4 linked regions of the Callithrix jacchus genome follow. The protein of the gene in region 3 interacts with the protein of the main gene of each other region in a pairwise test. Links are inferred from orthologs where the notes say so. Each region holds a gene or a part of one and is shown on either strand. Other genes may lie near its edges. The genes, in order: PBX3, NUP58, PKNOX1 and PBX2.

Region 1 (6,818 bases), on a different chromosome or scaffold from region 3:
TCTCCTGAGCTGAGAGCATGCATTGGGAAACATGAGGTAGGGTCAAAGAGAACTTGCTTTAATAAGCATAATCAGAACCCACACCTTTATCATCCTTTTCTAATCTTGATTTAGAACTTTTCTGTTTTTAGACTCACATAATTCTGGTATGGATCCTAATGGTCACCGAGGCTGACTTGTCCTGGTGCAGAAATTCCTCCCAAGTATCCTCCCGCTCAAGGCCTAGGTGCCATATCTGCACCATCTCTGGTTTCTCCCTCTCTGGTGACCTCCAGAGCTAGTCAGGGGCCAGATTCTGCCTGTTTCTCCTCCATAATATCTTCCCTCTCTAATCCTACTACTCTGCCTGGCTCAGGCCCTCATGGCCTCCTCGCTTATAAATTCTCCTAACTTCTTCCTGTTCCTACATCCTACACAGTTGTAATGCACACCAGCTGTGAGCATACGGGGCTCAAGGAAGGGAGGGCCAAAAAGGCTAATAGTAGGATGGAGAGGTCTCTTGGGGCTGAGCTTGAAGGCCTAATGTTGTGACAGTCTAGATGTTGGAAGTAGGACCAATGTGTGGAAAGGAAACGGAAACAGATTGTAGTTCAGAATAAAGAGAACTATATACCTGTTAGGACTATTGAACAGTGGAGGCAGGGATTTCGTGAAGTAGCGAGTACCACATCTCTGGAGATTGAGAGATCAGGACCACAGAGAGAATATAGAGGAGGTGGCTTAGAGGACACCCATTGATTTGGAGTTTGCTCTGGAAATAGAATTCTCATTCTTCAATCTATGGCACTCATCCTTCTGGAAGAAGCAGAGAGCCCTGGCAAAGGAGCCACGTGAGGAAGAACATTTATGTGTAAATCTCTTTAAAAATGAGAAGAGAGGGAAGAACATTTGTGTGTAAATCTCTTTAAAAATAAGAATTCACTGTCTTCACAGATGATGTGGATAGAGTTGGAAATCTGGGAGTCATCCACCCAGAGAGGATAACTGAAATTTTTTGAATATGGATAAGGTTGCTCTAGGTGAAAGAGAGAAGAGGGCCAAGAGCTGTGTCTGAAAATACATACTTGCACACATGCACACACTCATACGTGCATGTGTGCACGCACACACACACTGTGTATCAGCAAAGGAGCAGATATTGGAGGAGAAGGAGTATAATGTCACATACACCATGCAAGAGCCTGCTCCAGGAAAGAGGGGTGGTAATTACAAGTGTCAGACACTGCTAAGAGGTCAAACTAGTGGGAGACACAAGGCCACTGGATTTGGGGCAGGTGTCATGCCTGTATAACTACCCCTATCTACCACTAGCCCTTGAGATTGTTGACATTAAAATCAAAAAATGTATGCAAGGTGCTCTGCATCATGGTCATTCACCAAATAACAGTTATTAAAGCCACTCTATTTGATACAAAGAAAAGAAAGGATACATGCAGTCTTTTAGGGGGGAAAAAAGATGGTGGAACAGAAACAGCTAGGAAGTGCTAATCTGTAGCACATTTACTTCCTGATGGGTTTTTGGCTTGTTTCTGTCTGATGAACCTATGCTCATGGTTGCTGCATGGGTTCTCGGCAGGTATGCCTGCATGTGCATATGTGTGCATGTGTGCACCCCGTGATCCCCAGGATGGATAGCACATGGGCAGCAGCAAGGCCAGAATTGTCTTCCTCACGTGGCTCCTTTGCCAGGGCTCTCTGCTTCTTCCAGAAGGATGAGTGCCATAGATTCAAGAATGAGAATTCTATTTCCAGAGCAATTAAAGACTTGGCAGAGATGGTCAAAAGGGGTGCCCACAGTGTAAATTGGATTGGAAGCCTTCAAACTACATACTACTACTTATTTCTCTCCAGGGCACCTGAATAGCTGTTAAGAATAATACCTTCAGGGTAGAACAATGACCCCACCCAGCCTGATATCACAGCAATATGCCCCTTTGACAGATGATTAAGAAATTATTGAAAAGTATTTTTAAACTGTTACTTTAATAAAAGAGAGGTCAGATCCTTTTATATAGTGAGTGGCAATACTTTCTTATAAATTGCCATGTGGCTTTTAGCTTCTTGATAGAGTCAATTACAGGTACCTGAACACACTGTAACTCTGAGCCATGATTCTGGGGCTGAATTTCTGCTCTCCTTGAAATGTGATGAAATCTGCCTGTTGCCAAGATACTCTGTAGAAATCTCTTCCATTTGCAGCGGCTGACATCATAAGTTTGCAAAAGAAAGAAATATATTTCACCTGATGACATTAGAGTTGCTTCTCTGTGTTTGCATTTGACCTGATTGGAATTACTTAAGTTTTCAAGTTGTGACCTTCCCACATATTAACTGGCAGAGCTTGAGCAGCCATCTTGCCAGACATGCAGTATTTTCTGAGGCAGAAGACAAAGGGTTTTTTTCATCCGTTATTAATTGATGTTATTCTTTTCAGCAGACAAAACATGATTCTACTATACAGCTGCCAAAATTGTTCCAGACCCAAAAAAGATTAAGTCGTTCATGTTCAAGTATTTCTTATTATTTACCTAACTTAACAATATTTCCTTCAGCTTTTCTGCCTGATTTTGGGGGCCTATTTATATACTAATTGGTATATAGCAATTAGATATCTTTTATGAGCAGTGCTCCCTGCCATTCTGGTATTACTGTGGAAAACTCTAAGAAAGCAGGGTTACTCCAAAGGAATGTGAGAGTTTTGCCAAAAGAGAAAATAACCCCTAAAACCATTATGCATGATCCATAGGATGCAAGGTTGCAGGCTAGGAATTGTGTGTCTCCCAAGGTATCGCCTTGGTGTCCAACAGGTATTACTGGAATTTGACTACTTCCTCTCTTTCCCTTCACCTCCATGTCTCTGCAATTTGTAGGTATCCAATTGGTTTGGCAACAAACGAATCAGGTACAAGAAGAATATCGGCAAGTTTCAGGAAGAAGCCAACCTCTATGCTGCAAAGACTGCTGTGACAGCTGCACACGCTGTAGCAGCAGCTGTGCAGAACAACCAGACCAATTCGCCCACCACACCAAATTCGGGTGCGTACGGCGGGGGCTCACTCCCCAGTTGGCCCACACAGCCTTATGCCACAATGCCCTGTCCCACAGGCCAGGAAACAAGAGCCATACTGAGGACACAGTGGACTTATAAAGGAAGATTTATGTTCAAATGCAGGCTTGTTCTTGATATGGGTGAATGAGTAGACGGCCAGAGTCTGTAAACCCACTCTTCACAGTGAGTGCCACTCACTAGTAGATTATGGAACTTTTACACTTAGTAGTGGCTTTCAGTTCAGCAATTAGGTAGAGTGCTATTGCTCATGATCATTTCAGCTATCTCATTCCAGATATCACTTTAGGGTCAGTAGTGGTCTGTGGAGAGTGAAATAGCAGAAGTGGGGAACGCAGCAGTTGCTGTGCGTGAGGAAGCTGGAATGCTGGAGGGAAGTGCAGCAGCGCTGCTGTCCTTTCTGGGCCTTTCAGCAGCACTAAGTGGGGCTGACAGTATGCTCAGCAGGTGGCTAGCAATGAGGGTTATGGTACTTAATTCATGGATATAAGATTCTTGGCTCCTCATCTGGTACATTTTGGCCACATTTTCTATGACATTTGTGAGGGGGTTAGAAATACTTTAAAATTTCAGGGAACTTGAACAATAATGAAAGATGTGCAGCTAGTCAAAACAGACTCGATAGAAATTCCAGGGGCTTTTCTGAGGTGTCCTAAATAATATCTTTAGAAGTTCAGAAAGTAGGGTTTTTTTGTTTGTTTGTTTTGTCTTGTCTCCTCACCCCCCAGTCCTTTTTAATGACACATGAAAACAGGTGAAAGGAGAGGGAGGCATATAGCAAAGAAAGAGCTCCTGGGAAAGTCTCTTTTCTGGGTGGCTGTCCGCCGTGACAGTTAGTGATGTTGACGAGCTCGCAAAAACTAGGTCCTGGAGATCAGTGGAAAAAAGGGGAAGCATCCAGGTCAGCTTGGGTGTTTTGGTTTCTTTTTTCTTCTTAATTTATTTTGATTTGTCTCTTCGTTTCTGTTTTTGTTTTTTAAATTTGGGCTTCCCCATTGATAGGACTTCTCCTAGATGTAGAGTGAATCATAGACTCTCACTCTCTGGAGTTCTCCATCCTCTTAGATCTGGAAATGCTTTATGTTGTGCACAGCCTTTCCCTTCCATACTCTCCTCTTCTCCCTGCCTCTAGGTCTTTGAGGATCATGTGTGTAGCTCTCTGTTATTCAGCTACTTAACTCTTTCCTTTCCAGGTTCTTCTGGTTCTTTTAACCTCCCAAATTCTGGGGACATGTTCATGAACATGCAGAGTCTGAATGGGGATTCTTACCAAGGGTCCCAAGTCGGAGCCAATGTGCAATCACAGGTAGGAGAAGTGCCCCAGTGGGGCCTTTCTAGCAGGGCAGGGTTTGGGCTCAAAACTCCTTCCTCTGACCCCACGGAAGTGGTCTGCACATTCATGCAGAACCTGTGCTGGGTGCTTCCAAACAGGACCCATCTGCCCCACCATTTAATTTAATGAGAAGTCAAGTGAACAGTAACTTGTGATGATTCAAACCTGATAAACTTTGTGAATGCATTCGGCTCTGGCTTGAGCTCATGGAGAGGGGTTGGGTGCATCTTACTTTTGTCATAAAATAGAACAGAAAAATGGAGAATGCCAGTATGGATATGGTTTAAGAACATACTGCTGTTGCATTTTTACATCAGAGTGCAAAAACCTGAGTTCTTAAATTATAACTCTGTAATTTCTACTCTTTTCTTGTCCTCTTAATTGAGAACAGAACTACTCATATAGTTTTTATACATGTAGATGAGTGTGTATGAGACATAAATTGTGAGGGGGGCATGGAGAGAATTCTGTATACACAGTTGCAAGTAGGTTTTCACCCATAGCCACATGCATTTGGTTGCCATAGATGGAAAGTTGCATTGCCAGGAAGATGTTCTTATTTGGCTGGCATGAAAAACAAAGATTTGTGAGTTTAAATATGCAAAGAATGGTTGAAATTCTGCCAGTCACATTTGATTGATAAATTTGTCTTTCATTGAAGATGTTAAACCCTTATGGCACACATAATTCAAATGATTTCCTTTTGTAAGTGATGATGTTTTAATAGATTTGGGATGATGAATTTTGTTTTGTCTCATTTCTAGGTGGATACCCTCCGTCATGTTATCAATCAGACGGGAGGCTACAGTGATGGACTTGGAGGAAATTCACTGTACAGTCCACATAATTTAAATGTGAGTACTCTGGGGAGCCAGCTGTAGGAGAACAGTGTCAGGTAAACAGTGACTAATAAAGAAATGAATAGCCATTTGACCGGGCTTCTCATCTTACTGGCAGGTAGGGAAGGCAGTGTCTTTGCTGCACTTTTATTCTAAGAACCTAAATGCTTGATGCCACCTAGATGCCGTTAGAAGTCCTCCCTGATGCCCAGAAGTGGCTGGTGTCCTGACATCAGCAGGGACTTAAGTATCAGCCCATTAAGATGCCATTTCCTACCTTCAGTGCTGTGTTCCAGGGAAATGGTGGAAAACGTGTCATTTATCTTAGAACCAGGCAGCAGGAAAAATTCCCAAACAGAGCTCAGGTGAAGGTGATAAGTTCGGAGGATCCCAGGTAGACCAACAAACCAAGCTAAATGAAGAATTCTGTTATTAAAAGCATCCTGCTGTATTGTCAAGGTGGGATGCAAACATATTTGACAATTTTAATTATGGAGGAAATAATTTTAACTTTGTAATCACTTCACTACAACTTTACCTTTCCCCACACTGACATGGATGGAAAATGGCAAAACACACAGCTCTGGAATGTGGGGGAAAGGGGCAGAGATCAGGTCATCGTGGTGGTGCCGCGGGGCGTGGTGGATGGAGTCTGGGTTTCCAGACTTAGGAAGGAAATTAACTGCCCAGCTCATGGTAGTAGACTCAGGAAGAAAATGGGCAAAATTCTCCCTTTTTAGGGCCTTGGCTTGCTCTGAGAGTAAATATTAATGATTTAAAAAGTGATTGAGGATGTTCAATTGTAAAGGGAAAAAAGGACCATTAAATACTCAAATCTTTTACATTTGAAATGTCAAATCTTTCTTTTTGGGCTTATAAATAACTCATAATAACCCACAACAAACCATATAAAAAGCCTTTTAGTTGCATTTCTCCTTTTTCATTTAAGTGTTTTGAAATGCTTCAGAGAATGTGCGATATCCTTATCAACATGATAAAATATGAAACTGTGATTGCCTGCAGCATTTTACAGACATGAATTCCATCTTCACTGATGAGGCTTGATAAGGCGCTGTTGTATAATACAGTGCATAATCTCAAACCACCAGAGTAAGGATTAATTTATTTTGAAAAAAAAAGAATGCTTGCTGACAACCTCTCCTCCAGCTGCCACGCTGGGTAAAAATATTGTACATTTGTTGTTTATAAATTTGGATAAAAGAGGAATGATGTTTACTTCAGATGGAATATCTTTAGACTTGTATCTGTGTGAGAGTTTTTCTTTTCCTAAGTAGATTTTCATACCTGAGGAGGGAAACAGCTTACCTTTTAGATAAAGCAGAGGATTTCTGAGAGTCTACCGAACACACACGGGCATGTTGTTAGCTAACCTGGCACAACAGGCTTTAAAACAATACCACCATAGCTTTTTTTTTTTTTTTTAATATTGTTTCCTTTTGTTTTTCCTAACCTGAATTTGATATGCCTCAAGCTTGGAAGGTTCTCTTCCTTTTGGTTCTGGTCATCTCTGTGGGGTTGTTAGGTTTTTCCCTCCCTTTCCCTGGGTCATAGAGGTAGA
Region 2 (7,483 bases), on a different chromosome or scaffold from region 3:
TGCCAGGAATAGCGAGGGAGCAGAAAGATGACTAAACCCTTACTTAAGGAACACGCCATTTACTGGGGGATAAACAACACAAATAACTGTACTCCAAGCCATAAGAGTTCTCCAAGTTACTTGGGTCTGGGGGTCTTCAATTTCATAATCAGCCCGAAAAGCCACTCAGGTTTTTGCAAACACTGGGGGACAAGGGAGAAGGAAATATTCAAGCAGTAGAAATGTACACCTTCAGTAAGTTTATAATTACTATTAGGCAGATTATAATCAAGTACCAAATGATAGCAAAGAGATACTGCAGAAGTTTGAGGCAGAGCTAATCACTGAGATAAGAATGGAGACAGAGGAGCTTATTAAGGGATAGAACTTGAGATGGGCCATCCATACTGAGTAGGTAAAAGGAGAGGAAGTACTTAGTTTACCACTGATCTTTAAAATATGTTTGTGTGCACCAGAGAATTCGAAGTCGAGGCAGAAGGTAGAGCAGGGCTGCAAGATCTCACCAACAATTAAAACAGATCTTGGCCAAGCTGAGTGGTTCATGCCTGTAATCCCAGCACTTTGGGAGGCTGAGGTGGGCAGACTGCTTGAGCCCAGGAGCTTGAGACCAGCCTGGGCAACATGATGAAACTGTCTCTATGGAAAAAAACTAGAAAATACCCCGAAAAACAAAAATTAGCCAGGCGTGCTGCTACATGCCTGTAATCTCAGCTACTCAGGAAGCTGAGATGTAAGGATCACTTTAGCCCACAAGGTGGAGGTTGTAGTGAGCTGAGATTGCGCCACAGCATTCCAGCCTGGGAGACAAAGAGAGGTCCTGTCTTAAAAAAAAAAACCAAAAAACAAAAAAACCCACAGATCTTTAAACATTTACTCTGAAATTATAAGGTATTTTTAAGAACATATTGCTACATTCAAAACTAAGTGAGATATCACACATACAAAAACCTAAGTGAGCACTACAAGCAAAAGAATACAGTATGTAATGGCTATATCCAGACAACATAGGTAGGACAACCATAAAAGAGGCATATATGCCAAAAACATTTAGCTTAGCTGGTGGTAGTCTGATTGCATTGTTATTTTGAAACTGTTCTGTGTACAATGTGGAATAGAATAAATGGCTATCTGGGGGATATTAAAACACTATTGGCAAATTTTGAAGACATATAATTAGGAAAATGGTTATTAAGCTTTCCTTATTCCCAAACAAATCAGTGATCTCATTTTTTTAAAATTGCTATTTTGGAAATATACAAAAGATGAAAAGTAAACATTTGTATTTTTACACCATGAATTAAAATCTAAAATTTCTTGACAACAGGCAGGGCATGGTGGCTGAGGTGGGGGGTCACCTGAGGTCGGGAGTTCCAGACCAGCCTGGCCAACATGGTAAAACTCCTGTCTCTACTAAACTTACACACCCCAAAAAAATTAGCTGGGTGTGGTGGCGTGCCTATAATCCCAGCTATTCGGGAGGCTAAGGTAGGAGAATCACTTGAACCCAGGAGGCAGAGGTTGCAGTGAGCACCACTGCACTCCAGGCAGGCTAGGTAACAAGAGTGAGACTGTCTCAAAAAAAAAACAATAATAATTGTATACATGTATAATTTCTTGACAACATAACTTGAAGATATTATGAAGTAATAATGGAAGTTGAAAATAACTTCATAACTTGAATATATTATGAAAAAATAATGGAAGTTGAAAATACTGCCAAAGAAACATATCAAAATGAAATCTTATTCTACCACAGAAGCAAAAGAGAAATTTACTAAATTCAAGAAAAACAAAAGCTACCCTAGACTTGACCAATTACCTCCTCAAACCAGTGTTATCTGCCAGGGACTTTATAGGATGTGCTGTAGAAAAGCCAGCTTGACTCCATCACATCAGGAATGTTATTTTAACTTGCCCAGCTGGCCCTAATGCAGACTTCATAGCTAACATAATAGCTAACATTTATTGAGCACTTAGCAAGTGCCAGACTTGATATTAAGTATTTAAATGCTTCATCTCACTCAGCAACTCAGGAAATATATTACACTCCTTTTCCAGATGTGAGAACTCCTCTAAAATGACTGACCTCAAGAGATCTAATCATCAGGTGGCACTGGGGGCTGTCAGGCCTCCCAACCAGCACTCTTAACAAATTTACGTCAGACTGTCTCCTCTTTAATTTATCCAAGCCTCTCCAAAGCTTGGGTCATTTTCTTCTAGCTTATTACTAGTAACTCATTTGCTCAGTCATTCAAATTGTTATTAAAGCCCCTTTTCTATGCCAGGCACTGTTCTTGGGACTGAGGATGAGGTGGTAAATAAGACTCTGACCCTGCCTGCAGGCAGCTTCTAGTCAGTGAGAGACATAGATATTAATTATTCTTGTGCTGGGATCTAACAAGTTAACATTAAATATAAAGAACTGATTACAATTGTGATTAGCACTGTAAGAGTACTAATGAGAATGGAAACCTCCCCTAGACTGACAGGTCAGTAAAGGCCTCTCTGGGGAAGAAATCATTTGACAGTCGCAAAAGATAAGTAGGCATAAGAACTAGGCATATGGCGTAGAAGGAAGGGGTTGGCAAAGCCCACTTGAGGAAAAGAGAAAATGCCATGTTGCTAGGGCAAGGTTTCTCATACTAAGATCAGGACCATGAGAGAAGTATAAAAATTAATTCATCAAGTTCTAAGAAACATTAAAAAAAAAAAAAAAAAAAGAAAGAGAATAGAAAATATCAAAGTGCATCCAATGAAGTAAGGTAAGTGTCCCCCTCTGAAACTTTGTTTCAGTTATTTATTTGTCTGCAGGTACTGGTGTACTGGGTAGTAATATAGTTGTCTGTTTTTAAGAGTGAGTCTGGATAACTGAAATAAAAAGACCGGCTCCAGATGAGTCCCCAGAGGTTCCAGCAGAAGTGTACTTTGCAGACTATGGTAAGTTTGTTGTTGTTGTTGTTGTTGTTTTAACTTCATTCTAAGGATAGTGGGAAGTGATTACAGGGGGAGCAATTTGTCTTTTAATTATTCTGGCTACAATGTGGCAAAATGGATTGAAGACGTTGATAGGAGTAGCTGTCATCTAACACAAGACAGCTGGTTAAACATCTGAAAAGAATCAGAAGTATTTTCATAAGAATGTAAGGATCAAGAGAGCAAGACTCTCATGTTACTACGTAAAACTGAGCCTTGCACATGAGAATCTGTCCAATAAATATTTGTTCCAAGAATGACAATAGCTGAGCAGGGTGATGGAACTGGAAATAAAGACAAATGGAAATGGCAGAAGTAAAAAATTATTAGGATTTGATGTTGAGCGAGTAGAGTAAGAATAACGGAGGAATGGATGAAAACTCTCAAATGTCTGACTTGACTGTGTAGTCTGTGATTCCTCCTCTTTTTTTTTTTGAGACGGAGTTTCGTTCTCGTTGCCCAGGCTGGAGTGAAATGGTGCAATCTCCGCTCGACGCAGCGTCCGCCTCCCAGGTTCAAGCGATTCTCCTGCCTCAGCCTCCCCGCCCCATGTTGGTCAAGCTGGTCTCAACTCCTGACCTCAGGTGATCCGCTAACCTTGGCCTCCCAAAATACTGGGATTCCAGGCGTGAGCCACCTGAGCCACCCGGGGCAGCCTCCTCCCTCTTTAAACTGCAGGTCACGCTGAGGTTTTTGCCTTTTAAATCTACAGCCACATCTTTTAAGCTTCAGGAGATATTTTGTTGACAGTGTGCACACTTAACTTTATGAACCCCCCCACCTTTATCTTGAAAAAAATTGAGTTTTAAAGCTTAAATCTCTCATTAAAATGATGTCTCACCATTTTGTCTCTTTCTGGACAGTTACATTTTTGTCGCCACCTCAACAAATGGGTTGCACAAAAACGAGAAACATGCTACCTACATTTTGTAATTTAAGTGAAAGACAATGTTGAGTTATTAGGATACAACATTCTTTAGTCCAATATACTAAACTGCACATATTGCACAAAATCACCAATAAACACTGTAAAAAGGTGTTTTTGGTTTTTGTAAATGATAACAGATAAGGTCCCACGTGGCACAAAAGCTTGAAAGGCTGGTTATAAATAACTGCAAAGTTATTAAAACACCGTAATATCCAAAACCGCAAATGCTGCAATGAAATCGGAATTATCTATTACAAAACCCCACAATATGCTACAATTTCATTCATTCATTCAATGTTCATTCCATGCTTAAGACTGATGCCTCGCTAAAGCTCCGGGGTAGAGCCCCGGGCCTCTCCACCCAGCCAAGACCCCTCTAGGTCCAAACGATGCCTGAACTTTACATGGATTCCGGAAACCTCACAGCACAGAACCCATCCCGCCCTCTACCTCACCAGGCCGCGCTGGGCCCTGGCACCGCGGCGAGCGAGAGGCCTACGACGCCGGCGGCTAGATAAGTGTTACTCTCCAGCCCCACCGGGAAGGAAGCCAGCGGGAAGAGAGAGGATGGGGACGCCAGGAAGCTTCGAGGGGTCGGGGGAAAGGGAGATCCGGCCCAGGAAGGCGAGAAAGTGCGGTTACCTAGACGCTCCCGTCCCAAAAGAGAAACCGCCGCCTGTGCCGGTCCCGCCGGGGGCCACGGTAGTGGAGCCCAAAGTCCCGGACCCGAAGGAGAACCCCGTGGACATGTCTGCTCGGAGCTCGACGCCGTCAGCAAGATGAAAGGGGTCTGGGACACTTCTCTCGTCTCAAAGCCGAGGCGGGCCGGGCTGCATCTCTCTCGCCCGGCACCGACCTGGCGGGAACTTCAGCCCCAATGGTTGCGAAGGCGAGGCTGAGTGGGTGGAGCAACCACGCAAAAGCAGGGCGACGCTCGCCGCGTTCCCGTAGCCCGCCGGAAGTGAGCCCGCCGCGCAGGGAGTCCTGGGACAAAGGTAGGCGTAGGCGAGCTGCGCAAGGCACCCCGGGACCCGGCGGGATCGGCGCACAGCCTAATCTCTTAAAGGAGCAGGCTCTCAGAGTTTAAAAACAGACCATTTCTGTCATTTTTAGTTCTTCTATCTGACTGACATAATCTGCACTATAGGGTGTACTGACATAATCTGCACTATAGGGTGTACTGACATAATCTGCACTTTAGGGTGATGAGCGTCATTACTGCTTCTATTAGCCTTCTGCCAAAAATGATGCTCAAAATCACAGAATTGGGGAGGTCCCTCGAGAGCATCTCCAAGTTCCCCACACAGAAAAGAAGACGGCTTAGGGCTTTCGTTGGCTGCCGCCCCATCCCTGAGAAGGAAGAGGAGCGTGTCTGCTTCCTGAAAGTTCGGAAATCAATGGATAGTAATCCCTGCATCCGTCCCACGAAGTGAGCCCCACCCCTGCGCCGCAAGCCACTCGGACCCAGATGGACGCGGGTCAGGCGAGCCCGACGCGCAGCCCCGAAGGGGACCCAGAAGAGCGTCCCAGGTGTCCGTGGGGCGTCCGGCTGTGGTCCTGGCGCCCAGAAGTGACCAGGTCCCCTGGATCTCCTGGCCTGCGGTTAAGTCCACAAATACTGTCCGCGCATCCTGATGAGGGAGAGCGGGACCTGGGGCCGAGCGCGTGTGGCGCCCGCAGGAGGACGATGCGCGGCTCTAGGGCGCTCGGATACACGCTATGCTGGAGGAACTGCAAAGTGGAAGGTTTGGGAAACGCACAAAGATGTGCGATAGAAGGCGAAATGTAAGGGGTAACTTACATTTCTAGGCTATCTCGAGGAAAATTCTCGTTTAAAGAGAGACCCTCCAGCGAAGCATCCAGAAAGACTTCCTGGTGGTGGTACATTCAAGGATTGTCATCATAGTGTTAGTTTTTATATTTCCCTCAGGGATTGTTACATTACTGTCCCAAATGGTTGTCCTACTCGTGATCTCTAACAAAATCCATTCCATAAGCAACCCCCGGATTTATTTTCCTAAAACAATACCCACCACAACCCTGCCTTGATCTAAAAAGCCGAGTGGCTCTTTAGTCTGGCAGTTGATGTCGTCCATAAGATCAGTCTTTCTAATCTCGTCTCACAGCTCTCCTTAATTCAGTACTTTTCCTTGCGTTGAGCTTGGGCATTGCCATCAGCTTCGTACTGAACATATATCCCTCCTCCCCCAATCCGTCTGTTAAAGCCCTACCCCACCCCAATATGTTTGTATTTGGAGATGGAGCCTTTGGGAGGTAATTCAGTTTAGATAAGGTCACCCGGGTGGGTCTCCCATGGCAAGATTAGTGCCCTTATGAAAAAAAACAACAACAAAGAGCTTGTTCTTCTCTCTGTGCCATGTGAGGACAGAGCTAGAAGGGGCCTTCACCTGGAACCCAAACTGCCCCATCTTTATCTGGGACTTAGCCTCCGGAATTGTGAGAAGTAAATGTCTGTTTTTATAGCTACCTCAGTCTATGGTGTTTTATCAGCTAAGCAGACTAATATACCACCTCTGTATTTGTATAATTTAAAAAAATAAATATGTAACATTTTATTTTATTACTGTTTTAAATTTAATTTAACTTAATTTATAGTTGATTTTATTTTGTTCGCTCTGTTGCCCAGGCTGGAATACAGTGGTGCGATCTTGGCTCACTGCAACCTCCATCTCCTGAGTTCAAGTGATTCTCCTGCCTCAGCCTCACAAGTAGTTGGGATCACAGGCACACACCACCACACCCAGTTAATTTCTGTATTTTTAGTAGAGATGGGGGTTTCACCATGTTGGCCAGGCTGGTCTCGAACTCTTGGCCTCAAGCAATCTGCCCACCTTGGCCTCCCAAAGTGCTGGGATTACAGGTGTGAGCCACCACACCTGGCCATAACATTCTAAATGTCATGTAGGTCATAATGGGAATGATAAAAAAGAAAACAGGGATATATTTGGACTAAGATATAAATAAAAACTTCATAGTTATTGAACAGGAGGCAAAAATAAAAGATTGTTGTGAGTTTTAAAACTTCAGTGTTACAGAGAATGCCATTTTCAGTGATGGCTATAGGGTGGCCAGTATGAGGATTGTTTACATAAAATCTAGGGGCTTCCTTTTGACTGAAAAAACAAAAGATCCACATGATTTTTATGGGAAGATAGAAAGATGCTCCCTAGGTCTTTTGATTTTCTCATATATTCTTTCCAAAACTTTTGAAGAATACCAACCTACAAATTAGTAATAGCAAAATGGCTGGCACTTAAATATATGCAATTGAACAAGACTTGTAATATTCACAGGAAGGAAATAGCATGTAAAAATACAGTAGGGACTAATATAAGATGTTTAGAATGGGGGAACTGGGTGTGAGGAATATGAGAACTCTCTCTTTGTAATAATTCTGTAAATCCATATCTTTTAAAGCTAAACATTTATAAAAGAAAGTAAGTCCGACTTAGGTTAAAGTTTGGGTTTGGGGGGAAGCCATTCCAATTAACAAGCAAACTATTCTTTCAACTTTTTTAATCAAAATTTTAGTGTAGCATTTCTTGCCCTGTATCTGGCAGA
Region 3 (7,501 bases):
GCTTCCCAAGTAGCTGGTATTACAGGTGCCTGCCGTTATAGCCTATTAATTTTGTATTTTTAGTAGAGACAGGTGTTAAACCACGTTGGCCAGGCTGGTCTCGAACTCCTGACCTCAGGTGATCCGCCCACCTTAGCCTCCCAAAGTACCGGGATTACAGGTGTCAGCTACTGTACCTGGCCTCACAAGTACTACTTTTCTCAAGTTACTGCCAGAGAAACGTAACTACATATAAATCAGAGTACAGGAACCCCAAGAAAATGCGTTATACCCAGTATCGTTAACCATAGAACCTGCTGACACTTATGCACAGAATGTTAATCCTGGAAATAAGCCATACTTCACTGACCATGTTTCATCAATTCCAAGGCACACTTTTGCTTTTTGGGTTTTTTTTTTTGAGATGGAGTTTCACTCTTGTTGCCCAGGCTGGAGTATAATGGTGTGATCTTGGCTCACTGCAACCTCCGCCTTCTGGGTTCAAGCAATTCTCCTGCTTCAGCCTCCTGAGTCGCTGGGATTACCCGCCTCCAATCACAGCCAGCTAATCTTCACCCTCCCAAAGTGCTGGGATTATACACTTAAGCCACTGCGCCCCACCTAAGGCACACTTTTCAATGTCTGAAGTGGAAAGCATCCTTCACTGAGGTGGCAGAAACACACCATGTCAGCAGGCATCGGGAGCCTCTGTGCAGGGCACCGCATGGTGCGCTTCAGACACCACAGACCGTGAGCAGCTTATGTGACTGCACGTTGCTTCACTGCACTCAGCAGACACTGTATGGAGAAAACAAGCCTACTGGTGTCAGTTTTCCAACACCAAGAGCTCACTTTGCATCTGTTACATTTTGGTCATTCGTCAGTATTTCAAACTTTGTCATTATCATGTCTGTTCCGGGGATCTGTGATCAGTGATCCCGATGTTCCCACTGTATCTTACTGGTGTGTCACAAACCTGTATTAGACAGCGAACTTCACGGATAAATGCTGTATTCCAACTGCTCTGCTGCCCAGCTCTGCTGCCCAGCTCTCCCTCTCCTTGGACCTCCCTACTCCGGGAGACACCACAATATTGAAATTAGGCCAATTAATAACCTTACAATGGCCTCTAAGTGTTCAGGTGAAAGGAAGAGAAACACCATCTCCCACTTAAAATCACAAGGCAGAATGTATTCAGCTTGGTTAGAAAGTCATGTCAAAAGCCAAGAAAGGCCAAAAGCTCGGCCTCTTGCATCAAAAAGTTAGTCAGGCCGGGAACAGCAGCTCACACCTGTGGTCCCAACACTTTGGAAGGCTGAGGCAGGAGGGCCACTTGAAAGGAATCACCATTCTGGAAAGGAACTTCAGAGACAGCCTAAGCAACACAGTGAGACCTCACGGCATGGTGGCTTATGCCTGTAGTCCCAACTACTTGGGAAGCTGAGGCAGGAGAATCACTTGAACTGGGAGGATGCAGTGAGCTGTGCTGAGATCACACCACTGCACTCCAATGTGGGAAAGAGAGCAAGACTCATCTCAAAACAAAGCTCCTTTAAGTTCTTAAAGGAAATTAAAAGTGCTACCCCAGTGAACACACAAATAAGAAAATGGCCAGGCCCGGTGCCTCACAGCTGCAATCCCAACACTTTGGGATGCTGAGGCAGGCAGATTACTTGAGGTCAGGAGTTCAAGACCAGCCTGGCCAACACAATGAAACTCCATCTCTACTACTAATAAAAAAAAAAAGTACCCGGGCACAGTGCTGCAAACCTGCTATCCCAGCTGCTCAGGAGGTTGAGGCAGGGGAATCACCTGCACCCAGGAGACAGAAGTTGCAGTGAGCCATGATCATACCACTGTACTCCAACCTGGGCCACAAACAGTCTCAGAAGAAAGGGAGGGAGGGAAAGAAAGTGAAACAGCCTTACTGGTGATACGGGGAAAGTATGAGTGGTCTGGACAGATCAAACCAGCCACAACACTCCCTTAAACTGAAGCCTCATCCAGAACCAGGCCCAAATTTTCAATTCTATAAAGGCTGAGAGAGATGAGAAAAATGAGGAAGAAAAGTTGGAAGCAGCAGAGGAGAGGCTGGTTCATGAGGTTTACGGAAAGAAGCTGTCCCATTAACACAAAAGAACAAGGTAAAACAGCAAGTGCCAACAGAAAGAAAAGCTACACCAGGTTGTCCAGTAAGTCTGGCTAAGATCACTACTTCTGCCTATACCCTGGAAATGGAATAGCACATTACTGAACATTGTAAGCCCACTGTGGGGTCCACCGCTCAGAAAAAGATTTCTTTTAACACAGTACTGCTCACTGACAGTGCACCTGGCCACTCACGAGCTCTGACAATGCACAAGGAGATGAATGCTGTCTTCGTGTCCATTCTGCAGCTATGGATCCAAGAAGTAATCTTGATTTTCAGGTCTTAATTATTTAAGAAATACATTTTGTAAGGCTATAGCTGTGGTAGCGATTCCTCTGATGAATCTGGGCAACGTAAACTGAAAACCTTCTGGAAAGGAGTCACCATTCTAGATGCCATTCATGATTCATGGAAGGAGGTCAAATATCAACAGTAACGAATTTGGAAGAAGTTGAGTCTAACCCTCATGATGACTTTGAGGAGTTCAAGACTTCGGTGGAGGAAGGAACTGCAGACGTGGTGGAAACAATAAAGACTTGCTTCTCATGGGCACGCAAAGAAAGTGGCTTCTTGAGATGGAGTCTATTCCTGGTGAAGACGCTGTGAACACGGCAGATATGACTTAGAACATCACATCAGCTTAGTGGACAGCAGTGGCAGAGTGTGAGAGAAGAGCCTCCAACTTTGAATTTCCACTGTGGTTAAAATGCTATCAAAACAGCATCACATGCTACAAAGAAGTCTTTCATGAAAGGAAGAGCCCATCAATGCAGCAAACTTCACTGCAGCCTTATTTTAAGTAAGGGACAGGGCCGCCACCGCGCTCATCAGTCAGCAGCCATCCACAGAGGCAGGATTGTCCACGTACAAAAAGAGCAGGACTCACCTAAGGCTCAGATGATCTTTAGCATTAACACAAAAATATTTGTTAATTAAGGGAACCACACTTTTATAGATATAATGCTTGCTACTGCGCACTTTAGCGTAATTACAACTTTTCTATGCACTGAAAAACCTAAAACTGTGTTGTGTCACTTGCTTTCCTGCAATAGTTACTGGGGTGGTCTGGACTAGAACTCAGATTACCCGAGGCACGCCTGTGTACAGAGAGGATTCAGCAGCCGCTATGCCAAGTAAATGCCACCGAGTGAAGGCTCGTTCCAGCCAGCCTGCCACCTTCCAGATCCATCTATGACCAAATGCATGAGCACCGCCCATCACCGCACTGGCAGGGGTTCGCGTTTCACCTGGATTCTCATGTCTAGAAAAGCCCGTTTTCAGAGTGCCGGGAAAAACCTCAAAGCAACCTAAGGCTGGGGGTTCTCCCATCCCGAGGAAAGCACGCGCTTCCTAAGGGAAAACTGCCCCGTCTCGACAAGCAAACTCCCCACCCAAGGAGCTGCGGACCCCACACAGGCGGGGCACCCGGGGAGGGCGCAGCCCGCGTCGCGCTCAGCCCGGCCGCCCCGGGCCAGACCTCCGGGGGCCGCCATTCCCGGACCCTCGGGCCTGGCGTCACGAATCCGCCATGGGAACGGAGGCCCTAACCGGCCCGGTGGCAGAGCCACTGTCCAAATAAGGCATCTCGCGGGCCGCGCGCATGACACACAAAGCGGACTCCGGTTTCTTTTCCGTGAGCGACTCGCTGACAAGTGTCGGCATTTCCAGCTCTTCCCCGGCGAGGCCGGCGCAAGCCCCCGGGCGCCAGACCCTGCCCCGCTCTTCCTGTCGTCCATTTCCCACCCGTTCCCGGGACGCCGGGGCCGCTTCCCAACACTGCGGACAGCGCGCGGCCCTGGGCCGATCCCGAGTCCCACCGCGACCACGGCCCCGGAGACCGCGCGCTCGCCACGACCAAGGCAGGGGCCGGGGTCGCGGCCGCCATCTTCCTGCCTGCGCTGCCGCGCGCCCCGCACCCTCCGCGCAGCCCCGCCGGCCCGGAGGACCCCGGAGAGGCCGAGGACCCGCCCGGCCCCACGCGCGTCGCCCGCCCCGCCCCGCCCCCGCCGCGCGCCCCCGGCCCCGCGCGCCCCCGGCCCTCAAGCCCGCCGCCCCGCCCCCGCCCCCGCCCCCGGCCGGCTCCGCGCGCCCCCGCCCCGCCCCGCCCCCGCCCCGCGCAGGGGCGCGCGCCGCGCTCCGAAAGGGACGGTTAGGAGCGCGCGCTTCGAGCGGGCCCAGCCGGCGGCGGCGGCGCCTTCCAGAAATTTCCGCGTCCCTCAACCCACACTGAGAAACCAACTGGGCGCGCCCCCGCGCCGGCTGTGCGGACGGCGCCCCCTCCCCCGCGGGTGCCCGATCCCCTCCCCCACCCGCGCCCCCTCCCCGCCCCCTGCCCCGGGCGGCGGGTCAAGTGCGGGCCCTCCGGGGCAGCGCCGGCCCTCCAGACCCGGGCGGCAGCGGCGGCGGCGGGCGGCGGCCGCGGGCCGGTGTGATTGATAGGGACGGCGGCGGCGAGAGCGGCGGCGGCGGCGGCGGAGCGGTTGAGTGACAGCTTACCTGGGTGCCAATCTTCATCACACTGACAAGCGGCTGCAGCAATCGGGACCCGCAGTGCCGCGCCCGCGTCCAACCGTCACGCCGACGCTGGGCCACGCGACACAGCCTCGCTCAATGGGAGGAGGGCGACGCCGACGAGCGCCGCATCAATATTCAGAGAGGGGGCGGGGCCTGTCTCTGGCGAGCCCCGCCCCTCCCTGCGCGGCGGCGGCCGCGGGGCGGGGCCTATGCGCCGGGGGAGGAGAGCGAAGGCGGGGGCCGGGCGACGGACGGCCCCGCCTCCAGCCCCGCCCGCACCCGGAGCCAGGCCCCGCCCCAACCAGCCGCGCCCTAGCGCGAGGAGCTGCGTACCCCGCCCCGAAGGCAGAGCTTCCCGCCTCATGACTATGCAGCAGGGGCGTGGTCTTGGCGCGCGCCACGCCCCCTCCGCGCGCTCCTTGCGGTCCGGGAGACGTGTGCGAAGGCGGGAGAAACCATCTGCCTCGAGCAGGCGGGGAGAGAGGGTTGTACCATCCGTGGCCCCACAGCTGGGCGTCCCAACGCCGAAGGCCCGCACAGTGTGCGCGCCCCCTTTAGGTGCCAGCCTGCAGCAGCCGTGCAGCCTTCCACCCCAGGCTCCGGAGCGCGGGTGGGCACGGGCTTGAGCGGCACAGTGGATGCTCACATTCCTCCCTATCTGCGGCAGCGCTGTGAGTGCCTGGCACCTGAGGCCTTACCCTGGGCACTGTACCCCCTCGGTGTGAGGACCCCAGCAGGGACTCATGTTGTTCACAAGTGCTTCGGGCTGGCCTCTGGGCTACTTGGCCTCACTTGAACACACCTTCTGGCCCAGGTGAGCCTTGCAGGTCTAGGTGACCGATGCAGCCTCCAGGTACAGGGCACTTGCCGTAGGGGACGCCGACCAGTGTCTGCATTTCAAGCTGTGCTTTGAAAGACCACCCTAACCGATCACTGCCACAACGTACCCACGCGTCCCGATCGTGGCTTTGCTCTCCAAGATGTACAGAAGATGCGACACATTCCCATTGCGTAGGAAAGCACACGGTTTGCCTGACCGGCCTCCGGTGCTGCAGAAGCCTTCATTTATGCAGTGGCCCACCGAGTGCAGTCAGGGCTCTGAGTCCGCACACAGCGGTGGAAGGGCAGCTCTGTGGGCCCCCACTCCTCCGGGAAGGCAGGCAGGCCCAGGACAGGAGCTGACTGCTGCAGGGAGCCAGGGGTAGGTGTAGGCATGAGCAGCTCAGAGGACATCTGTCCTGTGTCTTCAGAGCTCCACACAGCCAGAAGGTCTTGGCTAAGTGCTGTGCAGCCGCAGAGCCGCCTGTTTCAGAAAGATGGAGGGCATCAGGGCGGGCTAGAGGGAGGCCCTGAGATGCTCGCCGAGGAGGGAAATTCAAGGGCACAGAAAAAGCTCAGTATTCAAGACTAAGCATAGTCTGCAGAGCGTTGTAGAAGATGCAGATGCAAGTGCCCAGAGGTGTGGGAACAGAGGGGCTCCATGGGTGCTGGGTGAGCTGAAGCTGAGACCTGCTGGGCTGCACCCCAGTGGGTTCAGGCGTCCTTAGTAATAGGATGAAACGGGGTTGGATCAAGACACAGGTCACAAGGATCCTGCTGATAAAACAGCACGCAGTGAAGAAGCCAGCCAAATCCCACCAAAACCAAGATGGTGGAGAAAGTGACCTCTGGCCTTCCTAACTGATGATTATAAACTAATTATAATACATTAGCTTGCTAAAACACCCTCCTGCCAGCGCCATGAGAGTTTACAAATGCCATATACTACACAGTCTAAAAGGGGCCAGGCACGGTGACTCACACCTGTAATCCCAGCACTTTGGGAGGCCAAGGCGGGCAGATCACTTGAGGTCAGAAGTTGGAGACCAACTTGATTGATATAGTGAAACCCTGTCTCTACTAAAAATACAAGACAATTAGCTGGGTGTGGTGGCACATGCCTATAGTCCCAGCTACTTGGGAGGCTGAGGCAGGAGAATCCCTTGAACCCGGGAAGCAGAGGTTGCAGTGAGCCGAGGTCACACCATACTCCAGCCTGGGCAACATAGTGAGACTCCATCTCAAATAAATAAATAAATGGAAGAAGAATCCTAAGTTCTGGGAATTCCCCACCTCTTTCCCAGAAAATTTATGAATAATCCACCCCTTGTTTAGCACATGATCAAGAAATAACCATATAATTCAGGAACGGATTCTAGAAAAAAAAAAACCCGTAAAAGTAGCCAACCAGCAGTACTTGAGGCTGTGCTCTTCCTATGGAGTTGCCTTTCTTTTTTATTTACTTCTCTAATAAACTGGCTTTCACTGTACTCTGTGGAATCTCCCTGAATTCTTTCTTGTGTAAATTCCAAGAACCCTCTCTTGGGGTCTGGATTGAGACCACTTTCCAGCAGCACAAGGTCCCTGGCTCAGAAATTACAGTGAAGAATTTCAAGGCAGTGACAGCAGAAGACAAGCCTGGGCCCTTCTCAGCAGGGGCAGGGGCCTTGTGACGTGCTGGTCAGGTCCCGGGAAGTGGCCCTGGACTCACTGGCCACACTTAGACCTGCCCGGATCTGAAGCTTTCATTTCTTTGCATACAGCCTGTGAGACAGCAGGAGGTCCAGGAGGACCTGAGTACCTGGTCACCCAGGTCACTGGTAGGTGTGTCTCTTAGCATGCTAATCAATTATAAATAGCATATAATGAGCAGTGAGCACGACCAGAGGTCACTCTCATCGCCCTCTTGGCTTTGGTGTTTGGCCGGCTTTTTCACTGCATGCGAGGTCTTTGTGACCTGTGTCTTGTGCCGACCTCCTATCTCACTCTGTGACTGAGAATGCCTTAACCTCCTAGGGATGCAGCCCAGAAGGTCTGAGT
Region 4 (7,595 bases), on a different chromosome or scaffold from region 3:
CAGCCCTGCCCAAGGGTTGTGGGAAGAAGGGGGATGGGAGGCCAGCAGGCAAGTCCTTCACTGCCTCCACACCAAATGTGGCAGAAACCTGCCTGTGTGAGTAAAAGACACCTAAGTGATTTTAGGGGGCAAACCTTGGTGCCCTGTAAAATTTACTTCCTGATGGACAGGCCTGGAGCCAGGGGGCCTCTTGACCAGTTCTGTTTGTCCCCCTTTCTCTTACCAGGACCCCTTTGGCTATCACCCCTAATATGGGAAAGCAAGATATAAAAAAAGACAAGAAATCAACATATTTATATAAAAAAAAACTACTTCCCCAAACTAAATTAAAAATTAAGAACCACCACCACCATCAACAACAACAAAAAACAGCAACAACAGAAAAACAGATGGATCCCAGGGTTTCTTTTTTCTTTCTTTAAAAAAAAAAGTTCAACCCCAAAGCCCAGTCAATAATTCTCTAAAGTAGCAGAAACTCCCTCCGAGGTAGATATCTGAGTCAGACACTCTCGTCCACCGAGCGATTCTATTGGTTTAAGATGAGCTGCGTATGAGGTAAGTAAGCCGTCTGGAGGGGTGGGGGTGGGGATACGCGGGGGCGTGGCCCATGTCCTCTGTCCAGAAGTCATGTCCCCATTTTTGGCATCTCTGATTGGGCAGGGCTGGCATCTCCACGGATTCCATAGCATATAAGTGGGGTGGGGAAGGGAAAGTGGGGGAGCCCAGAGAGAAACAGAATAGTTGCCAAGTGCCAGTATGTGTGTGGCTGAGGTGTGGGGGAGGGAGAGGGAAAGAGAAAAAGGGGTCTGAGAAATAGGTTTCTGGGTATGTGTGTGTTTCTGTGTAATATAGAAAGGGGGAGAGGTAAAAGATGGAAAAAAGGGGGAGACAGAGCCCACACTCCCCTTAGGGGTCCCATTCTTCCTGCCATGTAATTAGCACCCCCAGCACAGAGTCTAGTTAGGGAGGGCACGACCCCACTGGCCCTCCTCTGTCTTGTGCTTGTTCTGTATTTGGGGTTTGTCCTCTGGATGCCTGCGTCCTCTTCAAGAGTCGCCTTGTGAGCGCCCCCACCCATGTGACCCTGAGGGGCAAGATCAAGATCAGTTGGAGGTGTCAGAGTGAACACTCCCTGGTCCCTCTGTTGCAGATGTCACTGAAGAGGGGGTCACAGCCTCCTGCCAGCTGCCATTTGCCTGGAAGAAGGTAGAGACAGAGTATAGAAAACAGACAAGGCCTTGGGGAACCCTGTATGGACATACCACTAGGGAAAATGCCCCTCTGTCCTGCGAGTACTGGACAGAGAGGTGCTTCAGGATCCACTCACCCTCATTTCCCGAGGGCTGTACATCTGGCCTCCCCCGAGGTTATCCCCATAGCCCCCTGGCCCCATTGAATGTCGAAGTGATTCCACCTGCAGGGAGCAGAGAAAGGTATGACAGTGAAGAGACGCCTCAGATAGAGGTCTTGTATCCAAAAGTAGGGAAAATGGAACCGGAGAAAGCCCTACTCAAGAGGAGATGGGCGTCTGACCTGGGAAGCAGAATAGGAATCTCCGTTGAGCCCAGGCATCCCCAGAAACATGTCTCCAGATCCTGAGAGATTGAAAGAGCCGCCAGAGCCTTGGGGGAACAAAGAGGGAAGAGTGTAATAGAGCTGGTGATGGTAGAAAGGGGATGACCCACAACTCTCAGTTACCAGAAAGCCCTCTGTGGGGACATGCTACTATACTCCAATTATCCACAAAGCAACATTCCAACACACAGAAAGAGCAGGCTGTTCCTTGGCCACCCGTGGGAAGAAAAGCAGAACTAACTTCACAGAGTGGCCTTTGCCCCTTGACATCTCCAGCCTGTCTCAGCTTGGTCCCTCTCACCCAAAAGGCCCCCTCTCTGCTATCATCTTGCCTAGACAGGAAGTGGGAACAAACACAGGAAATGTGCACAACAGTCAGCCAGGGTAACAGTGGGATCCACCTGCAGAGGAAGGGGGTGTTGGGGAGCTGGTACGGCTGTGGCCCCCCTGAGTAACTGACACGGCGGTCTTGACAGCATAGATGTTTGCTTCCTCTTGGAACTTTCCGATGTTTTTCTTATATCGAATCCTCTTGTTGCCAAACCAGTTGGAGACCTGTGGGGCAGAAAGGAGGGTCAGGTAGAAACCTTTGCCTCTCAAGTCCTTCACTGAGTAAGATGTGAGTGAGAGCATTTTTTTTTCTTCCTGGTCTATGTTGTTGCCCAGGCTGGTCTCCAACTCAAGTGATCCTCCCACTTCAGCCTCCCTAGTAGCTTTGATTATAGGAACACACCACTGCATCTGGCTGAGATGAGTGCATTTTGCCTGAAAACTCCTCCCCAAGCCCCCATAATACCTGAGAGACAGTGATGCCACACTTCTTGGCAAGCTCCTCCTTGGCCTCCTCACTGGGATATGGGTTACTCAGGTGTGAGTAGAAATACTCATTTAGGACCTCAGTGGCCTGTTTGCTGAAGTTACGGCGCTTTCGTCTACAGAGGAGGGAGAAGAGCTGTGAGGAGGACGTTGGTGTCCTGGCAGTGCTGCTGTATGGCATGACCCCAGAGTCACCACTGTCATGGAGTACCATGTTGTGCAACATGGCAGCTCAGGGTCTTGGAGAGGAATGGGAAGGAGACCAGTGCTGGGGGCCAGCCTGGGTCCCTGCGCTCACCTGGCATCCAGGAAACGGGAACGCAGGATCATGACAGCCTCGCAGGTGCTCTGCTTGAGCTGCATCTGGATGGCGCTGAACTTTCGATGGATGATGCTCACCATGCGTTCCATCTCTTTAGGGGCCACGGGCCTGGTGCGGCTCTGCTCCCTCAGCAGGTTCATGACATGGGTTGTGAACTCATTACATGCCTGTAGTGGGGGCCCATGGGCTGGTGAGGAGGCACCCCGTGGGCATGGGATTCCCCTGCAAGAGCCCTTCCCTCCACCCACCCTAGCATGCTCTCCTCACCTGCTCATACTTCTCCAGCTCCGAGTGGTATATGTGACGGATTTGGGCAAGTTTGCTGCGATAGTCTGAGTGTTCGATGGAGTTGTCAGGGGACACACCACCCCCAGAGGCTGCAGCGGCCGCAGCTGCTGCTGCTGAGCCACCCCCTTTCTCTGGCCCAGCCACACCCTCTGCCAGAAGCATGTTGTCCAAGCGCATCAGCTGTGGGTCCACCGGCTCCTCCTCCTGGGAGCTTCGAATGCTGAGGCCTAGCATGCAGGCAGTGGACTTAGGAACCCAGGGACCCCACACCCAGTGCTTAGTCCTCCTGGTGCCTCCTGGAGAGCCAAGTTCCCAGGCTTTGGCTCCTTCCCAGTCCCCCTGACTCCTCACTTTCCTCAGGGCCCCAAGTTGTCACACTCTAGCCCTATAGTGAACAGGGTTCTGTCCCCAGAGTTGAGCAATCGGGGGACCCACATACCGGTTTTCTCCTTGATTTCACACAGGACGCTAAAGAGAGCAGGCTTCATTCGGTGGCAGTTTAGGGCGTGTTTCCTTGGGAGGAGTGGGAGTGGGGAAAGAGAAAAGTTGAGGAGCCAGAGAAACAGAGCAGGGGGCCTGAGAACAAGCAGGGAGGAGGGTCAATCTTCGGAGGAAGCGGATTGGGGGTGGAATGGCTTTGGGGAGGGGAGTTCTTGGGAAAAGATCAGCTCCCAGAGCCGGGGAAGCTGCTCCGCTTCAGAGGCACAGGGAAGATGCAGCAGCAGGCTAAAGGTACCACTGGTAGGCCGGGGGCTTTGGGAGACGGTTAGAAAGGTATGTGGAGAAATGTGGGAGTGAATGGGGAAAGGAAGGTGACCTGGTACGTTTCAGAGGTAGAGAGACAGAGGCTGGGGTTGAGAAGAGTCAGAGTTTGAGGTGGCAGAGTGGGGTTGGGGCTGCCGAGCTGACTGGGGAGATCCTGTGTGTGAAGGGGTCCTGGGGCTGAGCAGGTGTGGGGCTTTGATACACCTAGTGTCTGGCTGAGCCGTAGAGAGGGGCTTTAGGGGCTCTGGAGAGGGGTGTGGGGGTCTCTACATCTGGAGAGAACGAGGGAGCTGGGTGGAGAGTTAGGGGAGAAGATAACATAGCCCAAGAACAGTTTCTTAGTCTGGGAGCCAGAGGGGGCTCCGGAGATGGGACTGTTCCAGGGGAGTGTGGGGGTCAGCAAAAGGTTAGGAGGGGGAGCGGGGCCACCTGGGGTTCCTTCTGTGAAGGTTTCAGGGCCTGGGGGTGAAGGGAGGTTTGAGAGGGATCACTTTTCTAGGGGCTCCCAGGAGTAAAGAGAGAAGAGAGCTGTTGGATCCTGAAGAGGGCCCTGGAGTTGGGGGGCTCCCAGAAGATTCAGAGCATGTGAACGGGGTTTGCTGGGTCTGTGTGGGGTCCCGGGGTGGGGGCACTCACTTGGCCTGGGCCTCGTCCAGGCTCTGGTCGGTGATGGTCATTATCTGCTGCAGAATGTCCCCGATGTCTTGCTTCCCTCGGCCTCCCGGGACCCCCCCGCTACCCCCACCGGGGTCTCCGCCACCGGGAGGCTCGCCAGGGCCCCCAGGCTCCCCACCCACCAATCCCAGGCCCCCCCGGCCCCCACCTGGAGGGGGTGGCCCCAGTAGCCTCTCGTCCATAGCTGGGGGGGGGCCTTGAGGCCCCCTCCCTGCTCTGTCCCAACCCCCGCCTGGTTACTCCCCCCCAAACTCGCTGGGGCCGCTGCTCCCTCCGCCCCAACCCCCGCTCGTCTGCCCCCGGCTCCCGGCTCCCCCGGGGGTTCACCCCGGCACTGAAGGGAGACCTGGGGTACCGGCTGGGCCCCCCACAGGAGACCCCGGCCCCCGGCGGCGGAGAAAATGGAGCCGGAGAGAGAGAGAGGAGGCCCAAGCGGGGGTGTGTGTGAGAGAGAGGGAGGAGGGAGGAGGGAGAAGCGGGGGGAGCGAGGGAGGGAGGCTGGGGGAGGGGAGCCGGGGAGGAAGAGGAGGGGAGAAGAGAGGAGGAACAGGGAGGAGCTGGGGGCGGAGAGAGAGACACAGAAACAGAGGAACTGAGACCGAGTGGAGGAGGGGAGAGGGAAGAGGGGACGAGGGGAGGAGACGGGCCATGTGAAAAATATGGGAAGGCCCCCTGGCTGGACTTCGCGGCCTGGGAGTGGGGGTGTGGTAGCGGCTGGGGTGGGGTCTGCCACCTGGATTCTGAATCAGGGATCTAGGTGATGTGGACTCAGGCCGCTGGAATCCCTGCGTTCACGGACAGCTCAGTACAGATTTCTTGTTCTAATGATTCCCCTCCCTGTTCTACTTAATTAAAACCAGGAGAGGGGGGCTGGGGGAGATAATTAGGGAGGTCTCCAGCCGCTGCTTAATGAGCCAGTAATTAACCAGCCAGGGAGGGGAGCTGGCCTCTGGCCAGACTGGGGAGAGAGGCGGCCTCTGGCCTCACCTTTCTACCCTTCACCCTGCCCGGGCCCCCCAGACACCAGTCTTCAGTCCAGAGGGGAATTACATTTATTCACGCAATCAAAACATCAAACAGACTCAGAGCAGCAGTGGGGAGGGAGGGTGGGCAGGGCTAAAGGTGCATTCACAGCCTGTAAACCCCTCAGTCTCAGGGATGGGGAATGCTGGTGGTGGGACTGGGAGAATAGTCTTAGGCTTCATCTCTCAGGTGCCCATCTACCTTCCATTCTTACTAGGGGGGAGGGTGGAGCTGTCTCTCGGGTTATAACCTCTCAGGTGGAGGCCTGAGCCCTCAGACCCTGCCTAGTAGCTTGACAAATAGGTGGTGTCCCCACAAGTCAGGGAAGACTCCCAGCCACTCCTTGAGATGGGTGCCTGGGATCCGCCTTCCTGTCTCAAGCTCCCAAAGACTTGGGGAGGGAGTTAAATGACCATTCCACCTTGCCTGTTCCTAGAGTTTGAGGACTTTCACCCAGTCAAGTGCCCAGGGAAGGTAATGTGGGCAATGAATGCTGGGTCTTTCAGTCTCTGGTACCCCTGCCACGTAAGAGTTGAGGGCATGCAATGGTCTGCCCAGCTTTGAGCCCAGGGGTGAGGAAGGGCTGGCTGGGACTCAAGTCTCAGCAGGTGTGTGTCGGGGGCTGGGACCTTTGCTCCTCCATTCGACCCCCACCCTGAACTCTCAGCAGCAACTCCAGGAGCTCCTGCCCCCCTGGAGGGAGGGGAGGCTCTGACCGCTGGGCTTCCATCCGCTGGCACTGGAGGAGTGGAGGGAGAAGGGAGAGCTTTGGTGAGGGTCTGAGGGGAGGACCCTTGGGAATCCGGGTTGGTATAGGGAGGCATATAGGAAATTTCCTGTGAAGGTGATGTGGCAGGTGTCTAGGGAGAAACAGGAGTAGAGCCCAAAAGACAACAGGGGCCAAGAGGCCGGGAGGCCTGGGTTTGCCTCCTGGGGGGATGTCTTACCTGGTGACTGAGGATGGTGCTGTAGAGCTGTTCTCTGTCCTCAAGAGGACGGGGTGGGGCAGGGGCTAGGACTGGGGGGTTTTGGGGGGTGTGAAAGGTGGCCCTCTGCTCCTCTAGGCGGCGGGACTGGGCTTCAGCTACCAGGTCCAGAAGGAGCTCAGTCTGCAGGGAGAGCAGGGAGGCCGAGCGGGGTCCCAGGGCTGGGGAGAGGCGGGTGGAGGGCTCAGAGACCCAGAGAGGTTGGCAGACAGGAGCCATGGGGGAGTGTGCATAGGGTGACATGATTAGGGACTTTGGATCAGAGGAGAGGGGGTGCAATGGGGGATCCCAGGGGAAGTCCGGAGGAGGTGGGGAGAGGGCCCACAACGGAGTGGACCTTGGTAATGGGGTCAGGATGTGGGCACCAGGGTCGGGGCTCTCTCTGGGCAGGTGGGGGTACCTGTGTTATGGGTCCGTGGAGGAGGAGGGGATGGAGGAGCAGATCGCCACGGCCGAGTGGTGGAATTTGGAGGGGGCCAGCCTTGCTCATCCTGAGGGGGGTCCTGATGCCAAAATATGTCCATTCCAGTCAAGCAGTGGTGGTTGAAGCAGGTGGAGTGGACAGGGGGCTAGGCCAGTGGCCCGTTTCCTCTGTGTGTCTCTGTTCCTGCCTCAGTTTGCCCAAGCCTTTCAAGACCCCTACATATCTGCCCCAGGTCCTCTCACCTCCCTTCTTTCCCAGTGTCAGCCTTCCCCACCCTGTGCCCAGCTCACCTGCTCACCATCCTCTTCTTCCTGTGGTCTCTCAGCCTCCATTCCCTGGAGGGGAGAAACTGGTGGGGGAGGGGTGGCTGGGATGTGGGAGGAGGGCTGGAACCTTGAATTCCTGAAGGGAGTGGGGGCTCGAAGGGGTGGGGGTGAGCTGGGGGATGGATGCCTGGGTACTGAGCAGGAAGCTGGGTTCCTGGTCAGCCCCCCACGGGCCCCGCCCATCCCTGTCAACTTCCTCCATTCTCTTTTCCCACCCAAACAGCTTGTTCAGTCTCTCTCGCCCCAGGGGAGCACAGAGACTGGGAAAAACTCTTCCAGCTGCAGGAGTGGAGGGGGCTCATGGTGGGGAAGACTCCTGGCTAGCTCATCTTTAGAGCCTCAGTAGCCCCCTAATCCCTGGCTCTGCTCCCTCCACCCTACCTCCTTTTCTGCTC

What was found.
Region 1: the proteins of PKNOX1 (region 3) and PBX3 interact in a two-hybrid assay, tested with the Homo sapiens proteins (2 studies listed by BioGRID and IntAct). The link is inferred for Callithrix jacchus from reciprocal best matches to the Homo sapiens genes PKNOX1 and PBX3.
Region 2: the proteins of PKNOX1 (region 3) and NUP58 interact in binary tests that used the Homo sapiens proteins (3 or more experiments, as listed by UniProt). The link is inferred for Callithrix jacchus from reciprocal best matches to the Homo sapiens genes PKNOX1 and NUP58.
Region 4: the proteins of PKNOX1 (region 3) and PBX2 interact in binary tests that used the Homo sapiens proteins (3 or more experiments, as listed by UniProt). The link is inferred for Callithrix jacchus from reciprocal best matches to the Homo sapiens genes PKNOX1 and PBX2.

The regions. Positions count from the first base shown.
Region 1 is NC_133502.1:174,576,394-174,583,211, forward strand, and holds part of PBX3 (pre-B-cell leukemia transcription factor 3), read left to right. Parts: intron 1-2,870; coding exon 2,871-3,036; intron 3,037-4,260; coding exon 4,261-4,373; intron 4,374-5,164; coding exon 5,165-5,254; intron 5,255-6,818. UniProt on the Homo sapiens protein: Transcriptional activator that binds the sequence 5'-ATCAATCAA-3'.
Region 2 is NC_133506.1:144,537,354-144,544,836, reverse strand, and holds the start of NUP58 (nucleoporin p58/p45), read right to left. Parts: upstream 4,781-7,483; 5' UTR 4,651-4,780; coding exon 4,544-4,650; intron 1-4,543. UniProt on the Homo sapiens protein: Component of the nuclear pore complex, a complex required for the trafficking across the nuclear membrane.
Region 3 is NC_133522.1:48,708,120-48,715,620, reverse strand, and holds the start of PKNOX1 (homeobox protein PKNOX1), read right to left. Parts: upstream 4,705-7,501; 5' UTR 4,643-4,704; coding exon of another isoform or gene 4,625-4,642; intron 1-4,624. UniProt on the Homo sapiens protein: Activates transcription in the presence of PBX1A and HOXA1.
Region 4 is NC_133505.1:39,671,773-39,679,367, forward strand, and holds the start of PBX2 (pre-B-cell leukemia transcription factor 2), read right to left. Parts: upstream 4,888-7,595; 5' UTR 4,624-4,887; coding exon 4,403-4,623; intron 3,734-4,402; exon of another isoform or gene 3,690-3,733; intron 3,515-3,689; coding exon 3,441-3,514; intron 3,229-3,440; coding exon 2,981-3,228; intron 2,881-2,980; coding exon 2,690-2,880; intron 2,508-2,689; coding exon 2,372-2,507; intron 2,131-2,371; coding exon 1,977-2,130; intron 1,623-1,976; coding exon 1,534-1,622; intron 1,415-1,533; coding exon 1,328-1,414; intron 1,197-1,327; coding exon 1,104-1,196; 3' UTR 1-1,103. Other genes in the region: GPSM3 (G-protein-signaling modulator 3), read right to left, coding at 6,066-6,203, 6,412-6,611, 6,851-6,953, 7,165-7,383; NOTCH4 (neurogenic locus notch homolog protein 4), read right to left, coding at 7,196-7,209. UniProt on the Homo sapiens protein: Transcriptional activator that binds the sequence 5'-ATCAATCAA-3'. Activates transcription of PF4 in complex with MEIS1.